Elephas maximus indicus: one gene and its partner. The protein of the gene in region 1 interacts with the protein of each later gene in a pairwise test. Links are inferred from orthologs where the notes say so. Each region holds a gene or a part of one and is shown in the gene's direction. Other genes may lie near its edges.

What was found.
Region 2: the proteins of CIBAR1 (region 1) and CBY1 interact in binary tests that used the Homo sapiens proteins (3 or more experiments, as listed by UniProt). The two-hybrid records come from large-scale screens. The link is inferred for Elephas maximus indicus from reciprocal best matches to the Homo sapiens genes CIBAR1 and CBY1.

Annotation. Positions count from the first base shown.
Region 1 is NC_064833.1:48,275,063-48,291,226, reverse strand, and holds the start of CIBAR1 (CBY1-interacting BAR domain-containing protein 1), read left to right. Parts: upstream 1-7,657; 5' UTR 7,658-7,783; coding exon 7,784-7,809; intron 7,810-8,434; coding exon 8,435-8,669; intron 8,670-11,245; coding exon 11,246-11,314; intron 11,315-12,715; coding exon 12,716-12,856; intron 12,857-16,164. UniProt on the Homo sapiens protein: Plays a critical role in regulating mitochondrial ultrastructure and function by maintaining the integrity of mitochondrial morphology, particularly the organization of cristae.
Region 2 is NC_064822.1:182,551,880-182,568,043, forward strand, and holds the start of CBY1 (protein chibby homolog 1), read left to right. Parts: upstream 1-8,743; 5' UTR 8,744-8,785; coding exon 8,786-8,863; intron 8,864-14,086; coding exon 14,087-14,206; intron 14,207-16,164. UniProt on the Homo sapiens protein: Inhibits the Wnt/Wingless pathway by binding to CTNNB1/beta-catenin and inhibiting beta-catenin-mediated transcriptional activation through competition with TCF/LEF transcription factors.

The DNA of each region.
Region 1 (16,164 bases):
GAACAAAGATCTGAATGATAAATAACTGATATAACTTAGCTAGAGTATTAGCTCAACAACAATATTATTAAGAAGTTCTACCTTGTTTTTTCAATTTTCCAAATTAGAAAACACTCACAGCTCTACTATGATATTAATAGCAGTTAACTTTTGTGGCGCACTTACTGTGTCAGGTACCATACTTAACATCCAGTATTCCACTTAATCTTCACATAATCCTATGAGGTAAAGTAGGCTAAACGGTAAGGAAGTCGAGGCTGAGTTTCGTCACTACAGGAGTCTGGAACAGTGGTTCTCAAAGCGTGGTCTTGAACCAACAGCATCAATATGCTGAGAATTTGTTACAAATGCATGTTCTTGGTCCTCACTCCAGACCTTCTGAATTAGACTTTCTGGGCCTGGGGCCTAGAAAGCTGTGGGGTTTTTTGTTTGTTTGTTTGTTTGTTTGTTTTTTCTCCTCCTTTTTTTTTTTTATTATGCTTTAAGCATACAATTCAAGTCAGTTTCTCGTACACAAACATATACACACATTGTTATGTGACGCTAGTTGCTCTTCCTATGATGTGACAGCACACTCCTCCTCTCCACCCTGTATTTCCTGTGACCATTCAACCAGCTCCTCTCACCCTCTGCCTTCTCATCTCACCTGTGGACAGGAACTGCCCACATAGTCTCATGTGTCTACTGGAGCTAAGAAACGTACTCCTTACCAATATCATTTTATGTCTTATAACCCAGTGCCGTCCAGTCTAATCTTTGTCTGAAGAGTTGGTAGAAAGCTGTGTTTTAACACGCTCTAAAAATTATTCTGATGCAGGTTAAAGCTTGATATAGTAATGGAGACAGGTTTTATGTCCAAGTTGTAAGATGTCAGAGTCTACTAGTTAAAGGTGATTTCTACTTAATACCCTGCCAAAAAAAACTATCTGATTTCAGGGCCAGTTTCATTCCAACCCTTGGATTCTAGCGTTGACCAAATCATTTTAACTACTAAACTAACCACTAGAGGGAGTCCCTTGTTCTTGTGTGTGGAGTCAGTTCCTACTCATAAAAAAAAAAAAAAAAAACTCATAGAGACCCTAAAAGAGAGAGTAGAACTAATCCATAGGGTTTCCTAGGCTGTAACCTTTACAGCGGAGCCCTGGTGGTACAGTGGTTAAGAGCTCAGCTGCTAAACCAAAGGTCAGTAGTTTGAATCCACCAGCCACTCCTTGGAAAGCTTATGGGGCAGTTCTATTCTGTCCTATATAGAGTCACAATTGACCCGATGGCAACCCGTTTGGTTTTATTTTTCAATCTTTACGGGAGCAGAATTCAGCTCTTTTCTCTCATTGGGCACCTAGTGGGTTTGAACCACTGACCTTTCAGGTAGCAGCCAAGCTCTTAACCATTGCACCACCAGGGCTCCTCGAGGGAGTCCCTACAGATCTTCAAATACTGAACCTTCCAAAGTGTTTTAAAAAAATAAACTAGACGAAGCACACACACCCCTACCTAAATCTTTTGCTGGAGAGATGTATTATTTCTATGTATCAGCATTAAAACAACTTGCTCAAGTTACTTAACATGGAACAACTGTATTTGAAGTTATGTTTTTTAGACATAAACCTAAATGAGTGAATAAGGGTGATATAACTCTTTGACTCCACTGGACCCCCTCTTAACCCATCCTAAATAAATTGGAATTCATTCAATATTATGCAAAATAAGACTATGCCGTTCTCACAATAAATATACAAATATGATATAGTAGTTTAAGAAAGTCTGTACATGTATTGCTTGTAACCTGGGACAATAATTTTCAGGAATTTTGTAATGTTATCCCCAAAGATTGACTGATCCTACGACACACACCCTCCTTCTTCTCAAAATACTGAATGACATTCACTTATGTGATGGTTAACATTGTATGTCAACTTGACTGGGCCATGATTCTAAGTGCTTCGGCAGTCATATGATGTTATGATCACCTCCATGATGGGATCTCCTCTGAGCAGCCAATCAGCAGAAAGGGAGTTTCCTTGGGCTTGTGCCCTGCATCGAATATAAGTGGACATTCTGGAAAGGCTTGTGGGCTTTTTGCTCTTGCTGGATCCTGCAGCTGGCTCCTGTTTGTTTGACCTCCAGTTCTTGGGACTTGAGCTAGCAGTTTACCTGAGGTCTTGCCTACCAATCTTGGGATTCATTGGTCTTAGCAGCCTGTGAGCAAGAGCTCTGCTCTCTGACCTGCCGATCTTGGGTTCGGCAGCCCCTGTGGCTACCTGACCCACAGACTTAGGACATTCCAGCCTCTATAACCGTGTGAGCCATTTCCTTGATATAAATCTCTCCCTATATATATATGAAAACCCTGATGGCATAGTGGTTAAGTGCTATGGCTGCTAACCAGAAGGTTGGCTGTACAAATCCATCAGGCGTTTCTTGGAAACTCTATGGGGCAATTCTACTCCGTCCTGTAGGGTCACTATGAGTTGGAATCGGCTCAACAGCAATGGGTTTTTATACATATATATATATATATGTATATATACCAAACCCATTGCTACATGTATATATGTAGATGCCTTACTGGTTTCGTTCCTCCAGAGAACGCAGCCTAAGACAACTTACTAATTAAAATAACTTATGTTTCAGAACTTTCAAAACATTATAATTCTTGAGAGAGAAAAAGAAGAAGGAGAAGAAGAAGAGGAGGAAGAAGAAAAAGGGAGAGAGAGAGAGAGATTCTGGTAAAGTGGAAAGACCATTGGAGATGGAAGACAAAGGATTTAACTCCAGCTCTCCTGCTATTTCATCATGTGACCTTGGCAAAGACACTTGACCTCCCTGGGCCGCCAGCTCCTCTTCTATGAGACGGTGTATCTTAGGAGGAAGTGTAACATATAAGAAAAGAAGTGCCCCTAACTATATCTCTCTACCCTCCACTCTACCCTCACTAGCTTTCTTCTTTTTCTTTACTCACACCATGCTCCCTTGGTCATGGGCTTTCACTTATTCATTCGGTTTTTCATTGATAAATTCAACTAGTTATTGAGCCCCTACCGTACGATGCTGCCACCACCCATCTGCCAGTTTGCTGTACTGTGACGGCTTGCATGTTGTTATGATGCTGGAAGCTAGCCACCAGTATTTCAAATACCAGCAGGGTCACCCGTGGTGGGCATATTTCAGTGGAGCTTCCAGGCTAAGACAGGCTAGGAAGAAAGACCTGGATATTACTTCCACAAATCAGCCAATGAAAACCCTATGGATCACAAGGATCCAATTTGTAACCAATCAAGGCAATGGTGAAGGTCCAGGTAGTGTTTCATTCTGTTGTGTATGAGGTCACCGCGAGTCAGGGACCAATTCAGTGGCAGCTAGCAACAACGTATCAAGCACAGTGGTGGTACAGGAAATATAACGGTGAAAAAGGTATTCTCATGGAGAATATATTCTAGTCATGGGAGACAGAAATAGCATAGAAAAAAATGGATTAATTTCAGAGAATGTTATGTGCTTCAAAGGAAACACAGTGTATTCTGGGTGATCGGGGAAGCCTCACTTTTAAGCAGAATCCCATATAACAAGAAGTAGCCACGTATGTGAAGATCTGAGGAAGGAGCATTTGGGGCAGAGAGAATAACAAACACACAGCTGATTCTGAAATGAGCTTGATATATGCAGAGCAGAAGATAGTGTAGCTATAGCACAGTAGGGGAGTCAGAGAAGATAGATGGGTAGGCAGAAGTGAGATACGGCCTTAACAGCCAGGATAAGGATTTTTCATTTTATTTTAAGCACACCGGGAGGCTGTGGAGGGTTGGCATGATCTGATTTACATTTTTGATTTTGCATTGCAGCCTGTAACAGTGAACATGGGGAGGCTTTTGCCGTAAGGGTACTTTTCAGTAAGGAAGTTTTTGCAGTAGGGGTAAATGATGAAGGTCGTTTGGATTCTGATAATGTAGAAGAAATTATTCAGGATAGGTTTTAGAGGTGAAACAGTTGGAAATTGTCAGTGCGGCAGTGGAAAGTATATGCTCTCTTGGTTCCACATACTTTTCTGTATTGGTTGTGGTAGAGTACATATTGTGTTCCATTGCAAAAGTGGCCATCAGTTCTCCCCCTACCTACTCACCATCCCTATTGTTGTTGTTGTTAGTGGCCATCAAGTAGAACTACTCGATAACTGTGACCTTTCAGAAGCAGATCACCAGGCATGTCTTCCAAGGTGCCTCTGAGTGGGTTCGAACCCCCAACCTTTCAGCTAGTAGTCAAGTGCTTTACCATTTGCGCCTCACTGCCCCCTAGCCATAAAAATTTGAGTGCTCTCCCATGCTGACTCTGGGTCATATGACCTGCTTTGACCAATAGGATTTTAGCAAATGCAACATGGGCAGAGACTTGAAAGACACCTGAGCAGGGACGCTTGTCCTCTCCCATTGTTTCGGAGCCCTTTCAACAGTAAGAAGCCTGGATAACTTGCAGGGAGAACAAGAAACATGTTAACCCCTGTTGTCCCCACTCCCAGACAAATGAATGAGACCATCCTAGATCATCCAGCCACTAGCAGACCTGCCAGCTGATCAGAAAGGTATGACAGCCCAGGTGAGCGGAGTCAAAGTACGAGAGACACCCAGACAACTCAGAATCTTAAACTAGTGTTAAAACAAAAATCATATTCAGCCAATAATAGGAATTGATTTAAGTTTGTTTAATACATGATTTGCCAATTGGGATAACATTTATACTAACCCAAAATCCTAGAGAGTCAAAAATGTTCTGAACATGAGAGAACTTCAAACACTCTTACATGAAATCGTATTGGCATTGCCGTGGAAAAAAGGGTCAGGACAGAACCGATAAACTAATTTATGGTCAGGAAGGATTTTCATACAGCAGTGTCTGGAGGAACAATTAAAATAATTACCAATGTACCCTAAACATAGCTCCCAATCTGATCTTTGGAGTCTGTTTCCCGAAACTGACTGATTTCTTCAAAAGAGCACAATGCCCAAGGCAAAATGGTCTTACTGGTTTATCTAGTAAGGAGTCCTGGTGGTGCAGTGGTTAAGCACTCAGCTGCTAACTTAAAGGTCGGTGGTTTGAACCCACCAGCAGCTCTGTGGGAGAAAGGTTTGACAGTCTGCCTTCATAAAGATTACAGCCTTCAAAACCCTATGGGGCAGTTCTACTCTGTCCCATAGGGTCACTATGACTCTGAATTGACTGGACAACAATGGATTTGTGTGTGTGAGTTTTATCTTGGTCTGGTTTATCCAGATCATTGTTTGACTCAAAGGCCATATCCAGGAACCAGTTCCTCCAAGGCTCAGGGTTCAAAAGGAAACCCCAGGATAAATGTCCTGGGAAGGTCACCCCAACTCCATTGTTCCAGAACTCTGGATTTCAGGAAAATGAAAAGGTTCCTCACTAGCTAAAGGATAATTTTAAGCCACTAAATATTGCAGTACTTTGTTACACAGCAAAAGTTGATACAGTAGTACATACCTCAGTTGCAATTTAAGGTGTAGCTGTTTATCAGTCTCTTCCCCACTTCCCTCCCCGCCAACCCCCCAACCCCCCCCAGGAGACTGTGAGCTCTATAAGCGCAAAGACTTTTCTGCTTTTTGCTTATCACCAATGCATGCTCAGAGCCCAACACAATGCCTATTTTAAAATAAGTAAGACTGACAATTAAGGAGATCAACTATTTGCTAAGAGAAAGAGGGAGATGTGCAAATGGGCAAACTGAGAGACACTGGTGCAGCTATGGCGAAGTGGTTTTTTTGCTTACATGCCATTTACAATCTCTTGATGAAAGAATGTACTGTTGGTCCTTTGAAGGTTGTACAGTAGTGCAAAAAACAAGTCACATGAAATACACAAAAGTCTTAGAGACACAGGTCTTGGGAAAAAGAAAATTTTAAGCTAAACATCTACCATCCGTTATGAAGTGATCAAGGTCCTTGGGAAAACAAAAAAGGGGTATTCTTGGGAGATTAATGAGGTTGATTGGCAGGGGTATATCTAATGATAACATGCCCAGAAGTCTTGGAGCATTGTCCATTCTTTTGGGGAGTTATTTAATTTTAACACCTGGGACATACCAGGCAATGGGAGCAGACAGTTACATGTTGTAACATAAGAGAATGAGGTGAGTTCCATAAGAGAGGTAACAAAGGACTGGGGAATGCATTTGTTTAAAAAAAAAAAAAAAAAACTTTTATTGAACAGCACTGAGCCCCGAGGAGTAGAAAACCAAGACCATGTTTTCTCTGCCTACAAGAGCCCAAAGTCTAGTGCACAGGAGACAGTACAAAACCTGTATATAAGAGAGAAAGGGACCCCTAAGTCTGCCTTGATGAAAGAAGGATGGGTGGAGCCTAGGAAGTCTCCCTGACAGTTAAAACTTGTATTTATTCCTAAAGGTAAATAGGTGTTTACATGGAAGAGCAGCACAAGTAAAAGCCAATAGGCCTAAAAGGACATGGTTGTTCAAAGGAGAAAGAAATGTCTCCTGTTGTTTATCTCAGGGGTGGTTCAGTGATGGAATTCTGACTTTCCATGCAGGAGACCCAGGTTCCATTCCCAGCCATTTCACCTAGGGCAAAGTCATCAACAATCTGTCAGTGGAGGTTCTTGTGTTGCTATGGTGATGTAGTGGTTAAGTGTTACAGCTGCTAACCAAGAGGTTGGCAGTTCAAATCCACCAAGTGCTCCTTGGAAACTCTATGGGGCAGTTCTACTCTGTCCTATAGGATCAACTATGAGTTGGAAACGACTTGACAGCAGTGGGTTTGGTTTTTGGTTTATGATGCTAAATAGGGTTCAGAGGAGCTTTCAGACTAAGATGGACTAGGAAGCAAGCACTGGCTAGTGGTCTACTTGCCAAAATTAGCCAATGAAACCCCTATGGATCACAACAGAATATTGTCGAATACAGTGCTGGAAGGTGAGCCCCATAGGTTGGAAGGCACTCAAAATGCACGGTGGCCATTACAATAGACTCCATCCTATCAAGGATTGTGAAGATGGCACAGGACAGGCAACATTTGGTTCTCCTGTACCCTGGGTTACCATGAGTTAGAGCCCACCCCACCGCAACTAACAAGTCCTCATTACACTGTAAGGCCCTTCAGGGTAGGGATACCTTCTTTTTACCTTTGTATTATTCCCATTGTCTACCACAATCTGTTCCAGAAAGTAGGAAGTCAACAGATACTTGTAGAATAAACGCCCCTTCCAAAGGCAACCTCCAAGAGCCCACATTTTCAGATTTAACACAGAGACGCAGACAATTTGACATATATTTATATAAAACTAAATGTCGCATAAGCACAGACTAGAACCTATTTGCTTTTAGTTTTACATTTTCCTCCGGTCTACTGGGTCGCTGTGAGTCGGAATCTACTGGACGGCAACGAGTGATTGGTTAATTGTCCCTTTTCTCCTTTCTAGTCTGGAAAGACTTGGATTGGGTGTTTGCTAAATGAGGCTCTGAAAGAGGACGAATGGCCCCGCGGGCTTTTCCTCTGCTTGCGATAAACTCCAAGGGGAAGAATGTGTGGGGGTGGCTCCAGGTGACTCCAGCTTTGACTGCAGGGCCAGAGAACGCCGCGGCCGCGGGGACTCGCGCTGCGTTTCCATAGAAACGCCCGGGTCCGCGCGGCGGCGCGCAGGGCGGGCTCTCCAGCTCCTGGCGACGTAGGCGGCGGCTCGCGCCGCAGCGCGCGTTCGGGCCCCTCGGATCCTGGTCGTTGGGTCCCCGCCCGGGGTCCTCTGCCTTGCGCGAGGCAAGATGTTGAGGCGCAGCTTGGAAAACCGGTAACAACCCCGGAGCCCCGCTGCCCGGAGGCCCTACACGCGAGGGCTCGAATAGGGGACGTGGAGCGTCTCTCCAGGAGCCTCCGCGCCGAATTCCGGCCTAGGCAGGAGGCTGGACCGACCCGTGGCTCTCTGGGGCCTACCTCCCTGGGCCGGAGGGAGCCCCGGCGGCCGAAGGGAGCCCGGGGGGTGGGCTGGCTGCCACATACCCACGCTCCCCAGGTTCTGGTCCCGGCCCTGCCGCGGGCCGTGCAGAAGCCTGAGAGGCAGTCGGCTGCCCACGCCTCTCCTGGCGCCCAGGCCGCGTAACGCGGAGACGCCCCGCAGCCCACGCCCCGCAGCCCGCACCCCGCAGTGCGAGGCCCGCCCGGGCCCGGCCTCTTCTTGGACCTACCCTGTCGGGATATTGAGGCCAGGCTGGGAATGGGGTCCTGGATGAGCGAAAGAGACAATTATCCGCAAAATTGCGGTGAGAATCCGCCCCGAGAGATCGTTGGATTGTTGATGGTTGCGTCTTCGAAGCTGCAAGACGCCCGGGAATGTTTGCATATTGAATTAACATAACGATGAAGGCATCTCGTCTCTAACAAGAATGTTTTGCTTTTTGTGTCACCTTTTTCTCTAGGGACGCTCAGACCAGACAACTGCAAGATGCTGTCACGAATGTGGAGAAGCATTTTGGAGAACTGTGCCAAATCTTTGCTGCTTACGTGCGGAAAACTGCCCGACTGAGAGACAAAGCAGACCTCCTGGTGAATGAAATCAACGTGTATGCCTCCACAGAGACCCCACATTTAAAGCAAGGCCTGAAAAACTTTGCTGATGAGTTTGCCAAACTTCAGGATTATCGCCAAGCAGAGGTATGGCGTGAGGTCACAGCGTCATTGTTACGAATGAGCAGTGAAGTGGATAAAGGAACCGGGAAGACGTGCACGTGTTATCTCCCTAACTGCAGTGGTGAACACACTCTTGATAAACGTACAGATTTCCATGTCCGTTACCCTGCGTGAGTCTGTTGAAGGGAACCTTTCTGGGATTTATTTTACCATTTTCAAGTCAAACGTTAGAGTCTTTTCTTGAAGTCTTGAATTTCCCCACTGCCAGTTTTTGGCCAAGGGGTGGCCATTTAGAGGTGATAGTAAGCTTAGTATCCATGGGAAAGAAAAGAAGCATGACTATGTCTGGTGTCCATGTAAGCATATTTTAAAGTGTGTCTGGAGATTCAAGATGTTGGGAATGGTATGTGAATAAGTAATAAATAGGCAAGATGCTTCCATGCTCTGGAGTTTGGCCAATGTTTCATTGACAAAAAAAGAAAAAAGCACTGATGCAAACCAGTAGTTAACCACTTGCCAACTAGTAGACTTATACTCACGTTGATCCATACTCACGTAGACCCCATGTGCATTGGAGTAGAACTGTTTTCCACAGGGTTTTCAGTGGCTGATTTTTTTGTAAGTAGTTGGTCAGGCCTTTCTTGTGAGGTGCCTCTGTGTGGACTGAAACCTCCAGCCTTTCTCATTAACCTTTCCTGTTAACCATTTGTACCACCCAGTAGTTATTTGTGGGTTTGTTTGTTTTTTCCTTTTTTGGGGCAGTGGAGAGTAGAAGATGGTGCTGTAAATGTTTTCTTTCTAAAAGCCTTTTATTTTCCTTTAATACTTCATAAGAATTTTGTTATGTTTATTTAGTTTTCCAAGACACAGATTAACTTGTTAGAAGTTGCCCAGTTACAGCTGCTTTGTTTTTTGTTTTTTTAATGTACTTTTTTATTGGTGCTTTTGACCTTTCTTAAAACCTAGAACACATTTGTGATCAAAGATAAGTAAAATGAGAATATTAATCTTTGAACCTACAATTGCTATCCATACAGAACTAGACTAGAAACTAGAGAAGCTCAGAGACTTAAGAAGTAATTAATTACGTTTGGGGGTACTTTCTGGGAAAATGTTGCGTTCTTATTCTATGACATGTCTTCTGTAATAAACAAGTCACTCAGTTATACATGATAGCTGGGGACTTACTGTCTCAAAAATAATTTATATTCACATGGTCCTAACATCCCATTTTGGCCAATAATTTCAATACCCTTTTCTAGAAAACCTTTATGCTATTTCTCAAATAGCAAAGTGAACTGATTTACGTTTGTTCTCCTTTTATTTCCCTTGCTTACAAAATGGTGGAGTTGCTAATGAACAATGAAATGAAATGAACAAAAGGTAGGCAACAAAAAGGAGAACAGAACAGATAATCAGTATGGGTTATTAGAAATGATATAGACTTTAAACTATCCTGAGTAGTTATGGTTTTGATTCTAGGATTCCTGATATTTAAATGCTTGGTGGGGACTGGATTTTTTTTTTTTTTTCCTAAAATGAAACATTCTTTTTATTTTTTTATTTTCCTAAAAGGAAATATTCTGTACATTTTGTTTATAGGAACTAAAGAAAAATCAATATGAAATGTATTCACTGATTATATAAATGTGTCATCAAAAAAGCCTTTTACCTGTTATAAAAATAATACATGTTCATTTTAAACAATTATGTGTCATCTCTACTGAGAGAAAAAAAAATTTAATGTCTGAGAGAGTTATTTTTCTCCCGTGATACACTTTTCTTATGCTACCTACTTGTCTTTTTTTAACCTGTTTTTCTTCAGTGCCTTCCACTAGTGGTAATGGTAAGAGAAATAGCTACTCAAAATGTGATAAAAATTAATGTTTACGAAAAACTGTTTAATGCATAACGAAAAAGGGAATCAGTGTATACTAGGGGAAGAAGAGCGATCAACCGCATAGTTCGACAGCTCAGCAACAGAGACCACTTATCTTATTTTCTAGGCTTTGCTAATTTACAAATGACTTCTCAGAAAAATTGCAGCTAATAACAGCATTTCCTAGGCCTTTTTTGCTTTTGAGCAGCTTTAAATATTTCCGATATTCTATATTTTTCAGCTTCAATTTTCTTATCTGGAAGGTGGGCTTTTATGTTTCAGAAATAGCATATATGAAGTATCCAACACTGTGCTAACACATTGAAAATGGTAGCTGTATTAAAATTGAGGTGTCTTAAAACTTGCCCCCAAAGCTGCAACTTTAAGGTCGAAAAGCCATACACAGTTGATGGTTTGGCAGGGATGAGCTCCTTGGGACATTCTCTGGTCATGTTGCATACCAGGTACATTTGTGTTTTCACTGTTACTGTACAGATTAACCATTTTTAATGTGCTTGAATTTAGAATTTTAATCTTACCCATTTCTGGTGATAATCCTTTTATTTAAATAAGTTAAACAATAGTGTTTTAACTTAAATTTAAAAAAAATACTGAACTCTGTAGTAATTGTGTTCAGGTTAAACACAGGTTTTATTTCAGAATTTAAATTTTGATATGTCTGTGTTTCTTTTCAGTTATGTTTTATAATAATTTTCATTAGGTTGAAAGACTTGAAGCCAAAGTAGTTGAACCTTTGAAAGCTTATGGAACCATTGTAAAAATGAAGCGGGTGAGTAAATCTATTTTTTTCTCCTGTTGTTAAGTATTCTGAGAAGGCGTATGAGGTTTCTAATAATTGTCCTTTTAATAAAAGGTAAAAAGCAGTGTTTAGTCATTCTCTTTAGATACCTTGAAAGATCGTTTCTTAGAACTTTGAAAATAATGAAATGTTTTTTTGTGAGTTTACTAAGGACAGGCCAGTTCCTGGGTTATGAACAAGATCTGTTCCTAACGGTGTCTTTAAGTCGAATTTGTATGTAGGTAAGTCGAAACAGGTGCATATGGTTTTTATTTAGCCTCACTTCAGTGCAGGAAGGAAACCCTGGTGGTATAGTGGTTAAGAATTCTGCTGCTAACCAAAAAGTCAGCAGTTCAAATCTACCAGGCAATCCTTGGAAACCCTACAGGGCAGTTCTACTCTGTCCTGTAGGGTCGCTGTGAGTCAGGATGGACTCAACAGCAAGGGGTTTGTTTTTTGGGGTTTTAGTGCAATAAAGAAGCCCTAGTAGTGCAGTGGTTAAAGCGCTCAGCTGCTAACCAAAAGGCCGGCAGTTTGAACCCACCGACCACTCCGCAGGAGAAAGATGTAGCAGTCTGCTTCCATAAAGATTTACAGCCGTGGAAACCTTATTGGGCAGTTCGACTTGACGGCAGTGGGTTTGCTTTGGTTTTGCTTAGTGCGAGAAAAGGCTTAAAGCCTTTTTAATGATTTAAAATCTGCACTTGCAGCAAGAGAAGGTGATTGTGATGAAGAATTTGTTGTACGTTGAATTGAGTTGTTTCAAAGTGAAGGTAAATTTATGTAACACAGAAGGGCAAATGTCTATTTGGTCAGACATTTGCAACCTGGGGACTGCCTGTATACTACTCTAGCAACATAAGATATTATTTTTTTTTGTTATGGAAACTTTTAGATATTTAATATTTGTAGTCAGAAAGAATATATCGACAGAAATTGTTTTACTATATGAATAGAAGATTATATTTTTGTTTTAAATTGGTGATAACATTTTGACTTTAGAAATGAGTGTAACGGAGTTCTGTTTTTTAAATCAGCTTTATTGGGGTGCAATTTCATGCAATAAAATTCTCACATTTTAACTGTTTACTGAGTTGATTAATGTGTATGCCCGTGCAGCCACAATCAGTATTGTATACGTTTTTATTTATTTATATATTTATGGTTATAATTTTGCATTGAAATGATCTTTCTTGTCTCTCTCATTTAAAGGACTTTAAAGAAACAGACGTATGCACCCATAAATACACATTTGTTACGCAGTACTAATAATTCCTGTAGTAATGGCACCTGGAGCAAACAAGCAGCTTTCTCTTAGTCTTAAAACAGAGTGTGTGTACTTTATTTCTTAAATCCAAAATTTATATTAACAAAGAAAATGCATATCTGTAGGATGACCTCAAAGCAACATTAACAGCAAGGAATCGAGAAGCTAAGCAGTTAACCCAGTTAGAAAGGACACGGCAGAGAAACCCATCTGATCGACACGTTATTGTATCCTTTGAATTTTGGTTTTTTAAAGTATGTTGTAAGGTATGTCATACAAAAGTCAGCAAGTATGGAAATGATGCATTTCTGTTTTCCAATGTGTGGAGAATTTGAATATAAAGGTTAAAAAGAAACACATAGGTTTAGGAATTCTCACTGTAGCACTTAGCTAATTTTGAAGTTTCAGTCCCTTTATATTATCCCCCAAAATAGACATCCCCCTCAAAGGAAAAAAAACTCATAAATGCAGATGCTTTATAATTATAAAGGGTAAATTCAGAATTCTGAGATTTTTTTCCACGTAGTGATGATGACTAAATATTAATTATAAAATTAACTTAAAAGTCTATCGTTAAGCCTGATATAACAGTGCCCTCTCTGCCCCACTTTTGAGAAAAGGAAGGAAAAAATTTCCCATAATTGCTTTCATTCTTTAAAAACAAAAAATATGAAACCACATTTATGACTTTCAGCAAAAGACCCTCAAGAGATTCCAGAGTATAATTGAGATCCTCAGCTGGACACAAAGGGATCTAGATGGGAGTGACTACTGTAAGAAAGTTTCTATGAAACATGACTATTTTCTTAAACTAGAAAAAAGAATAGCAAATAGTGCCTGGCTAGTTGCCAGCACCTGGGGTAGGTGGGACTGTCTAGAAAGCACTAACTTATCCCTGCTGCCTCTTTTTCCCGTTCCTTCTTATATGTGTCTCCTTCCTACTTCCTTAAGGTTGTCACTGCCCAGCTCACCAGGAACCATGTGAAGAGTGGCTCTTTGGGGGCACTTGAGGTTCCAGAGTACCTCCATTCCTGAGGGGAGTCCCTTGAGCAGTGATATATGGGGTGCACCAGTTGCCTGGTCCTTCTTCCTTTGGACCAAAGGTACTTAAGCCCAACCTTGTACTAAACAAAACAAAAGAGAGCAGCCAGAGGGCTGGGACTGTCCATTGGAGGCTGGGATAGGAAGGTCTAGATGGAAGTTGAGGCTTAAGATCTTCAAACTACAAATTATAGAGAGTCTGTGTTGTTTTTTTTTTTTTAAAAAAGTCAGACAAACCAGAGAGTGCTAGAAAATGCATAACTGACAAATGGATTGAGGCAGAGACCAGGAAATGTTACCAGTGTTTAAGAATTAAGCCAGTAACTTTCACTTACAGTGCAATTAAAAAAAAAAAATTTCAGTCAGAGATAAAAAAAAATTTGTCTTTTGGTGGAGAGGGAGCGTGAGGGCAGAGAAAATGGAACATCTGGAGTCCTGAAGAGTTGGCAAGATTGAATCAGGGCTATTGGTATCAGCAGTCAATGTGGAAATGGATCTAGTCTTAAGACAGAGATTTTTCTGACTTAGGTGCTTTTCTCTGAACACTGCTGTGGAGAAGGTGGCCTGAGTATAGATGAATCAAGTCCGTGGGTTCACGTGGGAGGGAAATAAATGCAACATACATAGCTCACTGGCAAAGAGCTATATATGACTCCAGTAGATTTTGACAATCTGAGACTAGAAAATAAAGCACAATTTGTATATAAATGTATTCAATATAAATATACTTAATCACTGTTATGAGTCGGAATCAACTCGATCGCAACGAGTTTGGTTTTTTTTGGAATCATTGCATCCTTGAATTTTTACCAGAATACCTATTACTATCGAGCTGATTCTGACTCAGAGCGACCCTGTGAGACAGAGTAGAACTGCCCCATAGGGTTTCCAAGAAGTAGCTCATGGATTCAAACTGCTGGCCTTTTAGAAAGGAGCTGAGTTCTTAACCACTGCATCACCAGGGGTAGACCGTTAAAAATCTTCTGACTCTTTGTTCAAATGAAGTGTATGAACGTTCAGTGTGTAAAATAAAACAGAGTCGTTCTGGTAGATGGGGGTGGGGTAAAGAAGAATCTTTGGGCCCTCCCTGCTCACCCCTCAAGGCCCCATGTAGCCTCTGAACAAGTTCCCTGCGACACAGTTGGAAAAACAGCAGTCTGGCCCACCCCTTTATAAATCATTTTGAACTCTTGACTAATTTCATTAAGTATACTGATATTCTCGGTCTTTAGTATTTTAATCAAAAGCATTTCCTGCTCACATTGTTGTATTTTAGGATTTTAAAGATATGTCAATGAAAGGAAGAAACATTAGATATCTGTATTCTCTTTATTTTGCTAAAAATAGTTGTATAACTTTAGGTGAGTTGCTGTGCCCCGGTAAGTAGATTTCAAACTTTCAGAAATGAATAGTAGTTGCTGAAGGGTGGTAGATAAAAGTACGGGTGTCTCAGACGTTGCTTCTTCCTCCCCACTCTTTTTCATAGTTTTACCAGCTCTTCCAACCCTTCCAAAATTTAAAATGAAAGTATCAGTAAATGGGGAGGGGAAAGACATGAAGCAAAGGAGTTATAAGAATTGCATCATTTACACGTAATAAACAGTATTAGCAATTATTAGACTTGAATGTTCTCATTAGCAAAAGGTTAACATGCATCAAATAACTGTTAGGAATTTTTTCATACTGACAGATGTTCTAAAAACTCTATTTTTGAATTTCCTGCGATGAGGTTGGAAATCCTGGCGGCATAGTGGTTAAGTGCTACGGCTCTTAACCAAGAGGTCAGCAGTTCAAATCTGCTAGGCGCTCCTTGGAAACTCTACGGGGCAGTTCTACTCTGTCCTATAGGAGTGTTATGAGTCAGAATCGACTGGATGGCAGTGGGGTTTTTTTGGTAATGAGGTTAATTCCAAGCCCAATAATGTAGAGCATTGTTTTTTATCACTGGTTATAATTTAAAGCTTGCATTGTTTTAAAAAAACTTCACACCCTACATAACAAATGGATACACATACTTTAACAGCTTTTTTGAGGTATAGGTGAATATATTTAAATGCTTAGTATCTTGTGTATTTGACTTAACCTACTTGCAAAAATATATAGTTAATAGAGTTATAAACCAAATATAACCTGATTGTAAGAGTGTATAGTTATAGAAGACTAAATGATTTTAACTTGTTGAAAGAACTGTTGTATTCTTTTGAAGTGTATTTTTTCCTTTATGAAAAATTTCAGTCACAGGTGGGTAATAAAGTGGAGTGCCAAGAGATGGATCCTTATAGTAAATCCCTTTTACTTGTTTCAATTTATATATTTTCTTGAAAAAGCGAGGGCTAGTTGTCAGAATTTTAGAATCTTAAATGTAACAAAACTTTGAAAACAGATGCAGTTTTTTCCCAGATTAAATATTAAATGATGATGTATGATATTTTTAAGTACATAAAAGAGTATGGAAAACAAAACTTTATTAAGAAGAATTAAAGAATTGGAATATGTTTTTTTAACATCTGTTTAACAAAGAATTTTAAATGTT
Region 2 (16,164 bases), on another chromosome or scaffold:
AGCTAACAACAACAATTTCTTTTTCCACTAAGCAAAGTACTCCTTAAGGACTAGGTTCACTCCATATTTGACTCAAAGACTCATTCACCTCATTCCTTCCTAGTCCAAAGAAGTTATTTATCCATCCTGGGTTGTCCCAAGCTTGCTGGATTATAGCAAAACCTGGCCCAGACCCAGCTCAGTATCATTTCTTCCTTCCTGCTCCTAGCCTTTAGCCATAGAGGCAAGGGGGCTGGGAGTAAAAAGGAGGCAGGAGCTCTTTAGGGCTCCTCACTTTCCTCTCCCTCACTCCCCAGCAGGACCCCAAAGCTACAGCATTCCCCGAAAAGCCAGGCTTAGGGCTACCTGGCTGAGAAGCCTCTTGCTTTAGCTCGATGCTGTTACTCGTGCCTTGGATCCACAATCAACGCCCATGGAAGCGGCAGTCAAGAAATGAAACGACATCCTGCGTTGGGCAAATCTGCTGCAAAAGACCTCTTCAAAGTGTTGGAAAGCAAAGACGTCACTTTGAGGACTAAGGTGCTCCTGACCCAAGCCATGGTATTTTCAATTGCCTCATATGCATGCAAAAACTGGACTATGAATAAGGAAGACTGAAGAAGAATTGACGCCTTTGAATTGTGGTGTTGGTGAAAAATATTGAATATATCATGGACTGCCAGGAGACTGAACAAGTCTGACTTGGAAGAAGTACAGCCAGGGTGTTCCTCGGAAGTGAGGATGTCGAGACTTTGTCTCATGTACTTTGGACATGTTAGCAGGAGGGACCTGTCTCTGGAGAAGGACATCATACTTGGTAAGGCAGAGGGTCTGGAAAAAAGAGGAAGACTCTTGACAAGATGGACTGACACAGCGGCTGCAACAACGGACTCAAACACAGCAGCAATTGTGAGGGTGGCACCGGACTGGCCAGTGTTTCATTCCATAGTACAAAGGGTCTCTGTGAGTCGGAACTGACTCGATGGCACTAACGATACCAAGTATGGAAGAATTAAATATTGTGCTTTTAAAAAAATGTTACTGTGGTAAAGTATTTATAATATAAAATTTTCCAATTTAATCATTTTCAGTGTGCAATTCAGTGACGTTAATTGCATTCACAACGTTAAGCAACCATCACCACTATTTCCAGTTTTTTATCACCCCAAGCAAAAATTCAGTATGTACCTGTTTAGCAATAACTGTTCATTTCCCTAGTGCTCCTGCCCCTGGAAATCACTAATCTATTTTGTCTCTATGCATTTGCCTTTTCTAGACATTTCATATTAGTGAGATCATACAATATTTGTCCTTTCGTGTCTGACTTATTTCACTTAGCATACTGTCAAAGTTCACCCACGTGGTAACATATATCAGAATTTTATTTCTCCTTATGGCTGAATAATATTCCATTGTATGGATATACCACATTTTGTTTATCCATGCATCGTTAGTGGACACCTGGGTTGTGAATAACACTGCAATGAACATTGGTGTACCAGTATCTGTTTGAGTCCCTGCTTTCAATTTTTTGGGTGTTTACCCAGGTGTGCAATATACAGGTCATAAGGTAGTTCTACGTTTAACTTTTTGTGGAACTGCCAAACTGTTTTCCACAGTGGCTAATCCATTTTACAATCTCACCAGCGATGGAGGAGGCTTCCACTTTATCCACATCCTCACCAACCCTTGTTATTTTTCGTTTTTTTAATATAATAGCCATCCTGGCGGGTGTGAAGTGGCATCTTACTGCGTTTGATTTGCATTTTCCTGATGACTAATGATGTTGAGCATCTTTTCATGTGCTTATTGGCCATTTGTATAAATATCATGTTTTTTTGAGAGAAGTGTTTAAAACGCACACTCTGTTCCATTCTGAATTTTTCCTCACATCATTTTAGGATAAATATTCTTTGAAAGGAAACCCTGGTGGCAGAGTGGTTAAGTGCTACGGCTGCTAACCAAAGGGTCAGCAGTTCGAATCTGCCAGGCACTCCTTGGAAACTCTATGAGGCAGTTCTACTCTGTCCTATAGGGTCACTATGAGTCAGAATTGACTCGACAGCACTGGGTTTGGTTTTTTGGTTATTCTTTGAAAAAGATAAGTTTTTATTGTCACTACTTGGGTGGGAAAGAAGAGGGGAGAAAATGAACCTTCATTGAATACTGTATTTTATGCAAATAATGTGCACCTCCTATGTTTGTTTGCCAGCTGTGCCCTCCCCCCTCGAGGTATTTTCGTAAGTGCGCTATGCCAATTTTCTACAGCAACATGTAAAAAAAGAAAAAAAATTGGCATAGCAGGGCTTATGAAAGTACCTGGGTGGTGGGGAGGACGGTTGGCAAACAAACATAGAAGGCATGCGTTATTTGTGTAAAGCAACAGTATCTACTCTGTGCGGGTCTGGGTACCCTGTGCCAAGCACTGTGCTAAATGCCAGGGGCAGATGAGCGGAAGAATAAGACACCTTCTGCTCTCAAGGAGCACACACACTCTGGCAGCTGATGGTCAAGTGTCCCCTGTTTAAAGACAGACTTGGGTTTGAATTCGCTTGTATCTAGTTTAACTTTCAGTCATTCAATGAGTATTAACTGAGTGCCTTCCAGATGCCAGCAGTGTGCTGGTACTGGGGAAGGAAGGGTGAGTTGTACCACACATGACCCCTGCCCTGATGGAGCTATGTTTAGTGGGTGAGACGTTCAATAATCAAAAATTATACAAATCATTATGCAATTATAACTGCGACCACTGCTTCGAAGTTACACAGTGCTATGAGATGACATAATAGTGGATTTTGACCCAGTTAAGTGAACAATCAGCAGTCTACCAAAGAAGGGAAGTCCTACAGCCTCCCCTATTAGAAGCTGCCTGAGCAGGCAGTGGTGGCACAGTGGTAGAATTCTCGCCTTCCAACCAGGAGACCCAGATTCGATTCCCGGCCACCGCACCTCACGAGTAGCCACCACCCATCTGTCAGCAGAGGCTTGTGGTTGCCGTGGTGCTTAAAAGGTTTCAGTGGAGCTCCCAGACTAAGACAGACTAGGAAGAAAGGCCTGGTGATCTAGTTCCAAAAATCAGCCAACGGAAATCCTATGGATCACAACAGTCCAATCCACAACCGGCCATGAGGAGGGCACAGGACCTGGCAGCATTTCAGTCCACTGTGCACGGGGTCGCCATGCGTTGGGGGCTGATTTGACATTATTCAAATTAATTTCACCTGTTTTTTTTAGGTTTCTTTTTTGTTTTTCCTTTTAAAATGTAGCTACCAGACAAATTTAAATGACCTGTAGCTCACCCTGGTGGTGTAGTGGTTAAGTGCTAAGGCTGCTGACCAAAAGATCTGCAGTTGGAATCTGTCAGGCGCCTCTTGGGAACTCAACAGGGCAGTTCTACTCTGTCCTGTAGGGCCCCTGTGAGTCCGAATTGACTTGATGGCAGTGGGTTTGGTGTTTTTTTTTTGGCAGCTCACATGACATTTCTACGGGACAGCACTGGCTGGGCCATGCCGATTTTGGTTCCAGGACGTGGAACGTTCTCCTCAGTGCAGTGTGCTGTAGTTGCACGTGGAACCAGGAGACTCTGGGCTTCTGTCCCTCACTGGATGGACGAGCTGGTGCATCCACTAGGCACCCAGTAAATATCCTTTGAACGAAAAAATAAATGACCCTGAGTTTATTTATCAGACGGTACTAATACACATTGTTAGGCTTTAGGAGTTCTGGAGCTGATCCTTGAGTAGTTAGTTCTCTGTTGTTTGTTCACTATGCGACCTTGAAACGACCCCTGTGCCTCAGTTTCCCCAGACTGTAGAAGTCGACGAGTCGGGGCGCAGGGAGGGGGCAGGCCCGCGGGCAGCCCGCGCGCTGCCCAAGGCAGAAAGGCGGGTCCTCGTCCGTCAGTGCAGCCGTCTTACCTGAAAGCATTGGCGGGATCCGACGACCTCGGGGCCGGTTCTGCCACAGGTCCCTCAGGGGACCCTGCAAACTTCTGGAAAGTGGGCTGGTGCCCTTTGCTTTTTGGTCAGAGAGGATGAGGAGGAGGGGAGGCGTCAGGGAGAGGCCCATTTTGCTATTGTGAGTCCCGGCGTTCTCAAGGCAACGCAGGCGCAACTGCCACGTTCCCAAAACAATGGGCCCGCCGGCGCCACGGTGGCGTCCGCCAGACGCCGTTACCACGGTGACGGGCCGCCCCGCGGGCTGTAGGGACCAGACCAATGGATTTGTGGGGAGGGCGAGGATGGCTCCTCGTCCCGACCTATAATATGGGGCATGTAAAAGCCTCCGCGAGGCACTGCCTTTGTATACGCCGTTTAATACGTCTCGGGGAGCCTGCGGGAGTTTCTGGTGCCTCGCGCAGGCACGCGTCGGAGACCCCGCCGCGCCGGGTACCCCCACTTTCTGTGATGGTCGAGGCTGCGCAGGCGCGGTGGGCGGGCGGTGGCGAGGCCGGGCAGCCGTGGGAGCGCCGGTTGATGGGGGACCCTGGTGGGGTCCTCGAGCGAGGTCTCGGCTGGGTTTCGACCGTGGCGTTTGGTACAGCGTCAGGTACGTCTCCGAGCTCGGCGCCGCCGGGGCAGCGAGGCCGGAGGGGCAGAGGAGGGGTGGGACGCCCCGGCACCGCGGGAGAAGGTTCCTCAGTTTATCTAGGGCCTCCCCGCAGCTGGAGGGCCAGGGGAACGTGAGGAAGGGGGCGGAGGCCGGGTCCCATCACCTCCCTTTTCTAGGTCTGTTTCCTCGATTGTAAAATGGCACGGTAATTCCTCCCCCGATTGTACGTGAACGTTTGTTTACAACCTTCCTTGAGTCCGACAGCCCTGGGTGACCCGAGGCATGTGCTTGGCTGGTCTTAACCCTTTGCGAGACACGTATCCCTTTGAGAATTTGATGAAAATCAAAAACTACTCCTTTGCCTTCTTATTAGAATTAAAATAAGGCAATGCATTTTGTGACCCTTTGCAAACTGTAAAGGGTCACTGTCGTTAGTGATTATTATTCTCGGAGGATAGGAGTAGACCTTGGCTGAAGCCTCATTCCATGACCTTCTTGTGTGATTTGGGGAAGTTATTTGACTTCTCTAAGCCTCAGTTTTCTGATGTGTAAATGGAATATTTACCTGACCTGCATCCCAGGGTGGTTGTGAGGATTAAATGCCACAGGTTTTTATAAAGCACTATGACAACCTGTGAGTCAGGTCTATGAGTATCCTTGATTACAAGTGAAGAGGCCTTGGCCCAGAGATGATAGGTGCTGGAGTCTGAGCGGCAGACTAATGGTTGGAACCCAGGTGTTCTCCTCTGCCTTCACATCCTTTGTGCTGAGCCCTCTCTCCCCAGGGAGTTTCACCAAAAGAAGGCTGCCTTGGGCCCTTTTTAAATAGCTGGGACCCTCAGGCCCATGCTTCGTTGTTGTTGTTAGTTGCCATTAATCAATTCTGACTCCTGGCAATCCCACGTGTGCAGAGTAGAACTGTTCCATAGGGTTTTCTCAAAGCTGTGACCTTTCGGAAGCAGATTGCCTGGCCTGTCTTCTGAGGCACCTCCAGGTGGGTTTGAACTGCCAACCTTTTGGCTAGAAGTCAAGCATTTAACCGTTTGTACCACCCAGGGACTCCCAGGGACACTAAGGCCCCAGAGTCCCAGACCTTCCTTTTCCTCAACTGTGATACATGGAAGACAATTCTTGGTTTAAAGATTATGAGAATTAATGAGGTCATGAGTCAAGTGCCTTAGTTAAAACCCAGAGAAATAAAGCAACTTGGCCAAGGTTTAGCAAGCAACTGATGGGCAGAACCAGGCCTAGAACCTGGTCTCTTGTGTCCAGGTGATGTGCTCAGGCATAGTGCTTGTAGCATCATCGGAGGCTTGGGCAGGAACAACTTGGCTTATTTTTTCTTCTTCCAGTGTCTCCAAATGCTTGGAGGGGCTGCTTTTTATCTCTTTTTTGTTTGTTTTGTTTTCGTAACTAATATGTGAATATATTGTCATTATAATAAAGTCATTAAATCCGGAAGTATTTTATAATTATATTAGAAGTCCTGGTGGTACAACGGTTAAGCACTCAGCTGTTATCTAATAGGTGGGTGATTCAAACCCACCCAGTGGCTCCCTGGGAGAAAGAGCTGGCAATCTGATCCTGCGGAGATTACAGCCTAGAAAATCCTGTGGGGCAGTTCTGCTCTATCACGTGGGGTGGCTCTGAGTGGGAATTGACTCGATAGCACCTAACTACAAGGTTTGATGATAGATTCTTTGGATGGCAGGACGCAACACAGAGTCCCTCGGATAGATGAAAGGGAGAACTCTTGGCTACTAAAGCTCCAAACGAGAGAAGGCTGCCACGCTGGGCTACACAGGGCCACACGGGCGGTTGCACCTGGGGACAGGATAACAGCAAGCTGGAGCTGTAGGAGACGGCTTATGTATGGTAAGCAGGGTGGGTTAGCTAGGTTTCATGGATTTCTTTGGAATTGGGTATTTTGAATAATTCTTCAGACCCAAGAAGAAAGTGTCATCCCTAAGTGTTAGGCATCTCGGGGCTTCTGGCATTTGGGTATGTGTTGTTGGAGCCCAGCAGTGATAAGAAAGGAGCTGGAGTAGGCTTAGCCAACTGCCGAAGAAGGAGACCAGAGAGTGTTTAGCCAGGGCCTCCATTCTGGATCAAGAACGCACTTATGAAATATTATCTTACCAGTATATTTCTTTAATATAAATAATTTAGCATTATATTATATTTTATGAAATTCCCACTATTTGACCATCTTTTACCTATAAAAAATGGCAATTTCATTTGATGATACTCGTGAAGAGTGTGCTTCTTAGCTAAATTGGCAGCTTCTTTCCGGAGGTGAGATGAGAAGGCAGAAAGGGACAGGAGCTGATTGGATGGACATGGGAAATCTGGGCTGGAAAGAGGGAGTGTGCTGTCATATTATAGGGATAGCAACTAGGGTCACATAACAATGTATATATAAATTTTTGTGTGAGAAAACAACTTGAGATGTAAACTTTCACCTAAAGCACAATAAAAATAAAAATGGCAGTCCCACTGGACTTCATTATCCTACTCTTCTTCCTGGATTTAACCACTATAAACAGCTTGGTGCATCCTTCCAGGTCTTTGTTGTTTTTATGCGCATGTGTAAATTCTCACTTTTGTCTTTGTGTCTTCTCGTATGAAATTATACTATATACGTTGTTGCACCCCTCATTTTCTTAAAGTTAGGGCGTATGTTGTAGGTTTTTTCAGGTCAGTCCATATAGAGCTATCTCATTGTTTTTAATGACTGTTTAGTATTCCATTATAAGAATGTATCCCAGTTTATTTGGCTGCACCAACCACTGGTGTAGACGTTTTGCATTGCTTCTTGTTTGTCAGTATTATTAACAAGAGCGAACATTTGTGTGAACATGCACAAGTGCTTCTGAAGAATAATCTCTAGACATGGATTTGCTGGTCAGAAAGTAGGCATATTTAAAATTTTGCTAGGCTTTTTGTGTAATTGCCCTTGAAGGAATTATAACGTCTTATGTTTCCACCAATGGTAAATGAAAGTGTCTTTTCCCCACTATGTCGGGGGTCAGGACGACCACCCCGGTTTGATGATTCACTAGGAGGACTCACAGGACACCACATATCATCTCACTCACAGTTACGATTTACTGCAGTGAAAGGACACAAAGAAAAGTCAGCAACGGGAAAAGGTGCGTTGAGTCTGGAGGAAACCAGGCAAGAGGAGTCATACAAGATGCACTTAATTCCTCTGCAATGAGTTGTGAAAACGGGTGAAATCTCTACCAGGGAAGCTCATTAGAAATTCAGTGCATAGAATTTTAACTGGGGCCTGGTCCCTTAGGCACCCTCTGCCTAGCACATACCAGGATTCCAAACTCCCAGAAGGAAAGCAGGTGTTCAACATAAACCGCTGTTTGTACAGTCTAGGCACGGTGAGCACTCTTATCAATTCTGGGAATGGCAAGGACCTTCCTGAAGTTCAAGTTCCCAGAACCAGCCAAGGACTAACCTTGCAAGCAGGCCTTCCTAAGGCCTACCTCCTCACCAGCATTGAATGGTACCCTTTTTTAAAAAAATTTGCCAATATCCAGCATGAAAATGGTGCTTCTTATCACATGCCCTTCAAGTTTTTATACAAGGGTAATTTGGTATACTGCTTTAGCCAACTGACCATGGGATCAAGGAATCTTGGGATTGGACAGTCTAAATCCTTACCCTGTGGCAACACAGCAAGGAGTCTTCCACTTGCTTAACTACTTCTGGGAGTAGGTGTTACACCTCCTTCTCAATACAGCCCTTTTCATCTTTGGACAGGCTAGCTCTGAATGTAAGAAAGTTCTTCCTGAGGTGGTATGGTACCTAGGAAGAAGGATGGCTTAGGAGTCTTTTTTTTTTTAATGGGCTTAGGAGTCTTGCTTAGCTCCTTTACTCACTGGCTGTGGACCTTGAGAAAATTGGTTATCTTCTCCAAGCCCTAGTTTTCTCATCTTTAATATGAATAGGAAAATACCTACTTGCAGGGTTGCTGCGAGGAATAAAAGAAATACATAAAATATGTACAACATAGGGCCCAGCCCATGATGGGTATACAGGCAGTGATATTCATTAGTGTTTGGTACTTTGCCGTTTCTTGTTTGAGTTAATATCTTTCTCCCTGGGTATTGTTCTGTTTCATTCTTGTTTTGTCCTCTACAGATATAAGGTAATTCTCCTCCATCTTCTGTATGACCACCACCTTTCTCCTCTCCAGCAGAAACTATGCCCCAGGGCCTTCCTGTGTGTTTCAGATGACATGGTGGCACACTTCAAACTCCTGCAACATCCTGGTCCCCACCCCTGTCTTCTCCACCACCAAGCTGGAAGCATTCTGGTTTGTTCAAGCCCCGAATTGTTGTGCCCAGGGCCAAACTGTTTTAATTATAAACACATACCTACCTGATAAAAATATCATGAGCACACGCGCCCTCAGTATCCTTGTATTTATTTACAAATCATATATACGTATATTTCTGTGCCGTATAATGTAAAAGAACAAAAAACTCATTGCCATCAAGTCAATTCTGACTCATAACGACCCTATAGAGCAGAGTAGAACTGCCCCATAGGGTTTCCAAGGAGCAGCTGGTGGATTCGAACTGCCGACCTTTTGGTTAGCAGCCAAGCTTTTCACCACTGCGCCACAAAAAATCCCTAAAAGAGCTTCTAAATGTCTGTCATTAATTTTAGTGAAATTAATTTTGGCATAACTGAAAACAGCATACTAGTTTTTCTTCATTTTCTTGTTGGATACATATTTTGCTAATAGTGATGGATTCATTCTATGAGTTATCTTTAACAATATTTGATATAAAACCTGATTTCATGTTCCACATTGGTAAGTAGTGTCTGATGGTGTAGTGGTTAAGAGCTATGGCTGCTAACCAAAAGGTTGGCAGTTCGAATCTACCAGGCACTCCTTGGAAACTCTGTGGGGCAGTTCTACTGTCCTTTAGGGTCGCTATGAGTCAGAATCGACTTGATGGCAATGAGTTGGTTGGTTGACTGGTGACTGGGGTCTTAAAAGCTTGTAAGCAGCCATGTAAGATACAACTACTGGTCCCTACTCATCTGGAGCAAGAGAAAGAAGGAAACCCATACTCAAAGAAGAAACTAGTCTACAGGTGGTCTGCATGAACCATGGCCTCATCTACCCTGAGACCAGAAGAACTAGATGGTTCCCAGCTACCACTACTAATCATTCTGATCAGGGGCACAGTACAGGCAGTCCCTGGGTTACGATTGAGATCCATTCCTAAATCTGTCTTTAAGGCAAATTGGTAGGTAAGTTGGAACAGGCACCTAACAACAACAACAGAACAGGTACATATGGTTCTTATTTAGTATCAATTAGTCAAATGTTTGTCTTAGTATACAGTATATATTTTACCTTTCTAACCAAAGGGGTTGGCAGTTCAAATCCACCAGGCGCTCCTTGGAAACCTATGGGGCAGTTCTCCTCTGTCCTATAGGGTCGCTATGAGTCGGAATCGACTCGACAACACTGGGTTTGGTTTTTTAGTTTTATGCATATAAAACACTTAAGAAACACTTCTGAACCACGCAGTGTTGCCATGAGCATCACAAAGTAGTGTATTCATTCATTATTACAAACCATTGTATGTATTTGAATATGATAGATTTTATGGCAGTCCATTCTTAAGAAACCCTGGTGGCATAGTGGCTAAGTGCTATGGCTGCAAACCAAAAGGTTGGCAGTTCAAATTCACCAGGTGCTCCTTGGAAACTCTATGGGGCAGTTCTCCTCTGTCCTATAGGGTTGCTATGAGTCGGAATCTACTCAACGGTAATGGGTTTGGCTCTTTTTCCTTTTTAATTCTCAAGTATGTTGTTGTTATTATTGTTAGGTGCCATCAAGTCAGTTCCAAGCCATAGTGACCCTATGTATAACAGAACAAAACACTGCCTGGTCCTGCACCGTCCTCACAATTGTTGTTATGCTTGAGCCCATTGGTGCAGCCACTGTATCGCTCCATTTCGTTGAAGGTCTTCGTAGATTCATACATTCCACATTCTGATTATTAAGGGATGTTTGCAGCTGTTTCTTCTCATTTTGAGTTGTGCCACATCAGCAAACGAAGATCCCAAAAGCTTGACACCACCCACATCATTAAGGTCAACTCTACTGTGAGGAGGACCCTCTTCCCCAGTTGTCTTTTGAGTGCCTTCCAACCTGGGGGGCTCATCTTGCAGCACTATATCAGACAGTGTCCTGCTGCAATTCATACGATTTTTACTGGCTAATTCTTTTTAGAAGTAGACTGCTGGGTCCTTCTCCCTAGTCTGTCTTAGTCTGGAAGCTCAGTTGAACTCTGTCCGCCATGGGTGACCCTGTTGGTATCTGAATACCAGTGGCATAGGTTCCAGCATCACAGCAACACGCAAGCCCCCCTAGTACAACAAACTTGACAGGCACGTGGGGGTCCTCAAAGTAGAGTAGACCTAAATGATGTGGATGGAGTAAAACTTTCGGGACCTTAATTTGCTGATGTGGCATGACTCAAAATGAGAAGAAACAGCTGCAAACTTCCATTAATAATTGAAATGTGGAATGTATGAAGTATGAATCTAGGAAAATTGGAAATCATAAAAAATGAAATGGAACGCATAAAGATCCATACCCTAGGCATTAGTGTGCTGAAACAGACTGGTATTGCCATTATGAGTTGGACGATCATATGGTCCACTACGCCGGGGATGACAGATTGAAGAGGGACAATATGGCATTCACTGTCAGAAGATGTCAAGACCTCTTCTGAGTTACGGTGCTGTCAGTGATAGGATGATATCCACACAGTACAAGGAAGACCAGTTAATACGACAGTTCTTCAAATTTATAATCCAGCTACTAATGCCAAAGATGAAGAAATTGAAGATTTTTACCAACTTCTGCAGTCTGAGATTGAGCAAACCTGCAATCAAGGTGCATTGGTAATTACTAGTGATTGGAATGTAAAAATTGGAAAAAAGACGAATAGTTGGAATACGACCTTGGTGATAGAAATGACACCAGGGATCACGTGATAGAATTTTGCGAGACCAATGACTTATTCATTGGAAGTACCTTTTTTCAACAACATAAATGACGACTATACACATGGAGTTCACCAGATGGAATACACAGGAATCAAATTGACTACATCTGTGGAAAGAGACAATGGAAAAGCCCAATATCATCAGTCAGAACAAGGCCAGGGGCCGACTGTGGAACAGACCATCAATTGCTTATATGTAAGTTCAAGTTGAAACTGAAGAAAAAACAAGTCCACGAGAGCCAAAGTATGACCTTGAGTATATCCCATTTGACACATTGAACACTAATGACCAAAAAGACCAGACAAGTTGTGGTAAGACATCATGGACATCATACCTGAAGAAAGCAAAAGGTCATTAAAAAGACAGGAAAGAAAAAAAAGACCAAAATGGATGTCAGAAGAGACTCTGAAATTTATTCTTGAACGTAGAGTAGCTAAAACGAATGGAAGAAATGTTGATGTAAAAGAGCTGAACAGAGGATTTTAAAGGGTGGCTCTAGAAGAGAAAGTAAAATATACTTATTTTTTAAAGCTATTTCTGTATTTTAAGTTAAAATTGGGTAATATATGGGAAAAAAGAACCCTGACCTGTATCTCACACAATATACAAAAATTCCAGATGAATCATAGCCTTAAATGTGAAAGTTGATAACATTTCTAAAAGTTAATATAATACCATTATGCTCTTTGGCAGACAAAAATTTCTTAAATAGGACACAAAAACACTATAAAAAATAGATAAATTAGATTTAATTAAAATTAAGAATTTCTTTAGTCGAAAGAAACCAATAAGGAAGAGAAAAGGTGAGCCCCAGATTGAGAAAAGATATTTTTCAGTGCTGTACATATATCTAACAGAGGACTCATATCCAACATATATAAAGAACCCTTACAAATCAATAAGAAAACAAAGACAAATAGGTAAAAAAAAAAATGATAAAATACTTGAACATTTCAAAAAAGAGGGTTTTATCGATGTCCAATAAGTATGTGAAAAAGTATTCAATTTAGTTATCGGGGAAAAGCAGATTAAACAAACAGTGCAATACCACTGCACGCCTGCCAGAATGGATAAAAGGAAAAGACAGAAAATACCAAAAGTTAACAAGGTTGTGGAGCAACAAGATCTTTTGCACGGTGCTTGTAGAAGTACAAATTGGTACAATGACTTTGGAAAACTGTTTGGCAGTATCTACTAAATCTGAATGTATGAATCCCCTGTGACTAACAATTCTACACAGAGAACCAGAAAAGTGTACATGTGTGTACTGAAATACATGGCTAATCATGTTCATAGCAGCACTATTTAAAAGAGCTGAAAACTGGAAACCATCCAAACGTCCGTCATCAGTAAAGTGGATAAATACATTGTGGTGTGTTTAAACAGTAGAATATTTTACAGCAGTGCAAAGGAACAAACTACAACTACATGATGTTGAGTAAAAAGAAAGAAATCTCACAAATATGTTGAATCAAAGAAGCCAGAAGTAAAAGAGGACATATTATACAAGTCCATGGACACAAAGGGCTTGGGCGAGGCTTGTGGGGTGCTGAAATGTTCCGTATCCTGATCTGGACGGTGATCACACAGGTGTATGTGTATATGCGTGTAGTAAAATCTCCTCAAGCCACACTTAAGATCTGTGTACTTTTCTGTAGGTCTGTTAACACTGATTTAAAAAAAGTTTACCTCCCCACACCCCCCGAGAAAAACTGGGTGATGTCAGTAAATTTATTTAACTGTGCCTTCGTGAATTGCACTAGGTCGCAGTATGCAGAAAGCAGATGTATAGATGAGGAGCCATTGTCAGCTCTGCCACGTTGTGAACCTCCCCCTTTCCTCCGGACACCTCACCATACGGGACAGGCAGCCTTCTGACATATGACCTAGTGAGGGGCACTGTTAGCAGTCTGGAGTGAAATATCAGCAAGGCTTCATTTCTTTAAAATGGACTGTATGCAGGGCGATTGCTCCAGGTGTAATTTTTATGGTGTGCAGGAATAGGAGGGATTGCATTGACTGCTGTAGACTACACATCTGCTGATGCCAACCGTGACAAAACTTAAGACAGGCAGGGTAGGCACTGGACAATAGTGGTTAACACACGGTAGAGCTGGACAGACCTGGGTTCGAATCCATCTCGCACTTATGATCTCAGTCTTTCTAAACCTCATCTGTCAAATGGATGTAATAACCGGCACTAATCACCAGGTTATGTGAGGATTAGATGAGATGTCACATGTCCTGTCAGATGGGGATAATAATAAGCACTAATCACAGGGTTGCATGAAAATTAAATGAGATATTGCATGTAAAGGTCTTAGCATACCACCTGGTGCATAGTGAGCAGTCAACACACTTGAGATATTGTCAAGATTGGTAATAGTTTATACTCAGACAAAGCCGTGAGGCAAAATGTATATGTCTCCATGATTTGAGGAAAATGGCACAAGGTCACTAATCCAGTTTTTTCCATCCTTGACTTTTTTTTTGACTCTAGGAGAAGGGAGCAGTGATTGACCTTTCCTTCATCAGGCCAAAGATGCCTCTCTTTGGGAATACGTTCAGTCCGAAGAAGACGCCTCCTCGGAAGTCAGCTTCTCTCTCCAACCTTCACTCTGTGAGTATTGGAATTGTGGTCAGCACAGTGGATGCCTGCAGTGGCAGGCCTGGTCTGTGGTGCAAAGTGTGGTCCTCAGGGCATCCTTTTAACTCATCTCATTGCTATCGGTGAAAACATATTTCTGAACTCTAATTTGGAAATTGTCAGGACCTGTTGACGGCACTGGTTTTTTATTGTTCAAGAAGAAAACAGAAATCCTCACAACTGGACCAATAAGCAACATTATGAGTAGAGAAAAGACTGAGGTTGTCAAGGATTTCATTTTACTTGGATCCACAATCAGTACCCATGGAAGCAGCAGGCAGGAAATCAAAAGACACATTGCGTTGGGCAAATCAGCTGCAAAAGACCTCCTTGAAGTGTTGAAAAGCAAAGATGTCACCTTGAGGACTAAGGTGCGCCTGACCCAAGCCATGGTATTTTCAGTCGCCTCGTATGCATGCGAAAGCTGGACAATGAATAAGGAAGACTGAAGAAGAACTGATGCCCTTGAATTGCAGTGTTGGCGAAGAATATTGAATATACCATGGACTGCCAAAAGAACGAACAAATCTGTCTTGGAAGGTGTACAACTAGAATGCTTCTTAAGTGGAAGGATAGCAAGACTATGTCTCACATACTTTGGACATGTTATCAGGAGGGACCAGTCCCTGGAGGAGGACATCATGCTTGGTAAAGTAGAGGGTCAGGGAAAAGAGGAAGACCTCAATGAGATGATCTGACACAGTGGCTGCAAGAATGGGCTCAAACATAGCAATGATTTTGAGGATGGCACAGGACCGGGCAGTGTCTCGTTCTGTTGTATACAGGGTCGCTATAAGTCGGAATCGACTCGACAGCACCTGACAACAACAACAACATTGTTCAAGAACCTAATACCCAGACCCAGTGCAAGAACCTAATAAGAGAGTCAATTTCACTATGGTTTTTGGCCCCAAACAATATCCAATTTGACTTTTACTTTATTCTCAAGGCTTAGCCAGGAATTAATTTTAGTTACTTCCATGAATCAAATTTATTCTCAAAGGATGGTAATTTGCCACCATTAAGGGCATTCCAGAGGATATTCCATGGCTTCAAAGGTAGTTGCAAAAGAGATGTTACAGCAGTGTTTGGAGCAATGGCAATAGCATTGGGATAAATGATAGCCTTCCAAAGCGACCTACTGTCTATTTGAATGTACAGTCTCTATAAATTTTAAAAATTAGGAGTTTGAAGTTAGACCACATCCAAATCAATTTCCATTCCTAGTTGTGAGATGGCCCCCCCATCTCCACCCCTTGATGCATGCATGCGTGCATGAGCACGCGTGCACACACACACAGAGACGTCTTTAGAGCAGCTGTGACCAAGTACTGGGTACTTTATGTTCGCTGTGATCCTACCTGCCCATGTGGCTCTCACACACTCAGGCTGTCAGTCTAAGCCAAGAAGTCATGGAGCCTGGTTTCCCTGATGTTTTCTAGAAGTCCTTAACAGAAGGTGAGGGGCGTGGGGCTGTGAGGGCTGAGCATTCACCCAGGCCTTTCGGTCTTTGAGCCCATCGTCTCCAGTCCCTAGTCAAAATCATGGGGGGGAAGCCCCACTGTGACCATGTTGGGCATCCAGTGAAGCAGGCCAGGCAGAGGCCCAGGCTCTCAATTTCTGGTGCCTGATGGTCCCTCTGAGACATCCCATGTCCTAATCACAGAGTGTAAGAGCAGTGGCATGAAGTCAGCCCTCCATCTAGAGGGTTTGACACATCCCCAGAGGTAGGTGTATACCATGGTAGGGAATAAACCTCTACAGTGCCTTGTATGGTAACCAGTGGTTTTTATTAGCTCCCCATTACTATGGGACAAGGTCCTTGATCTTGAGTGTTGTCTTAGTCATCTAGTGCTGCTATAACAGAAGTACCACAGTGGATGGCTTTAGCAAAGAGAAATTTATTCTTTCACAGTCTAAGAGGCTAGAAG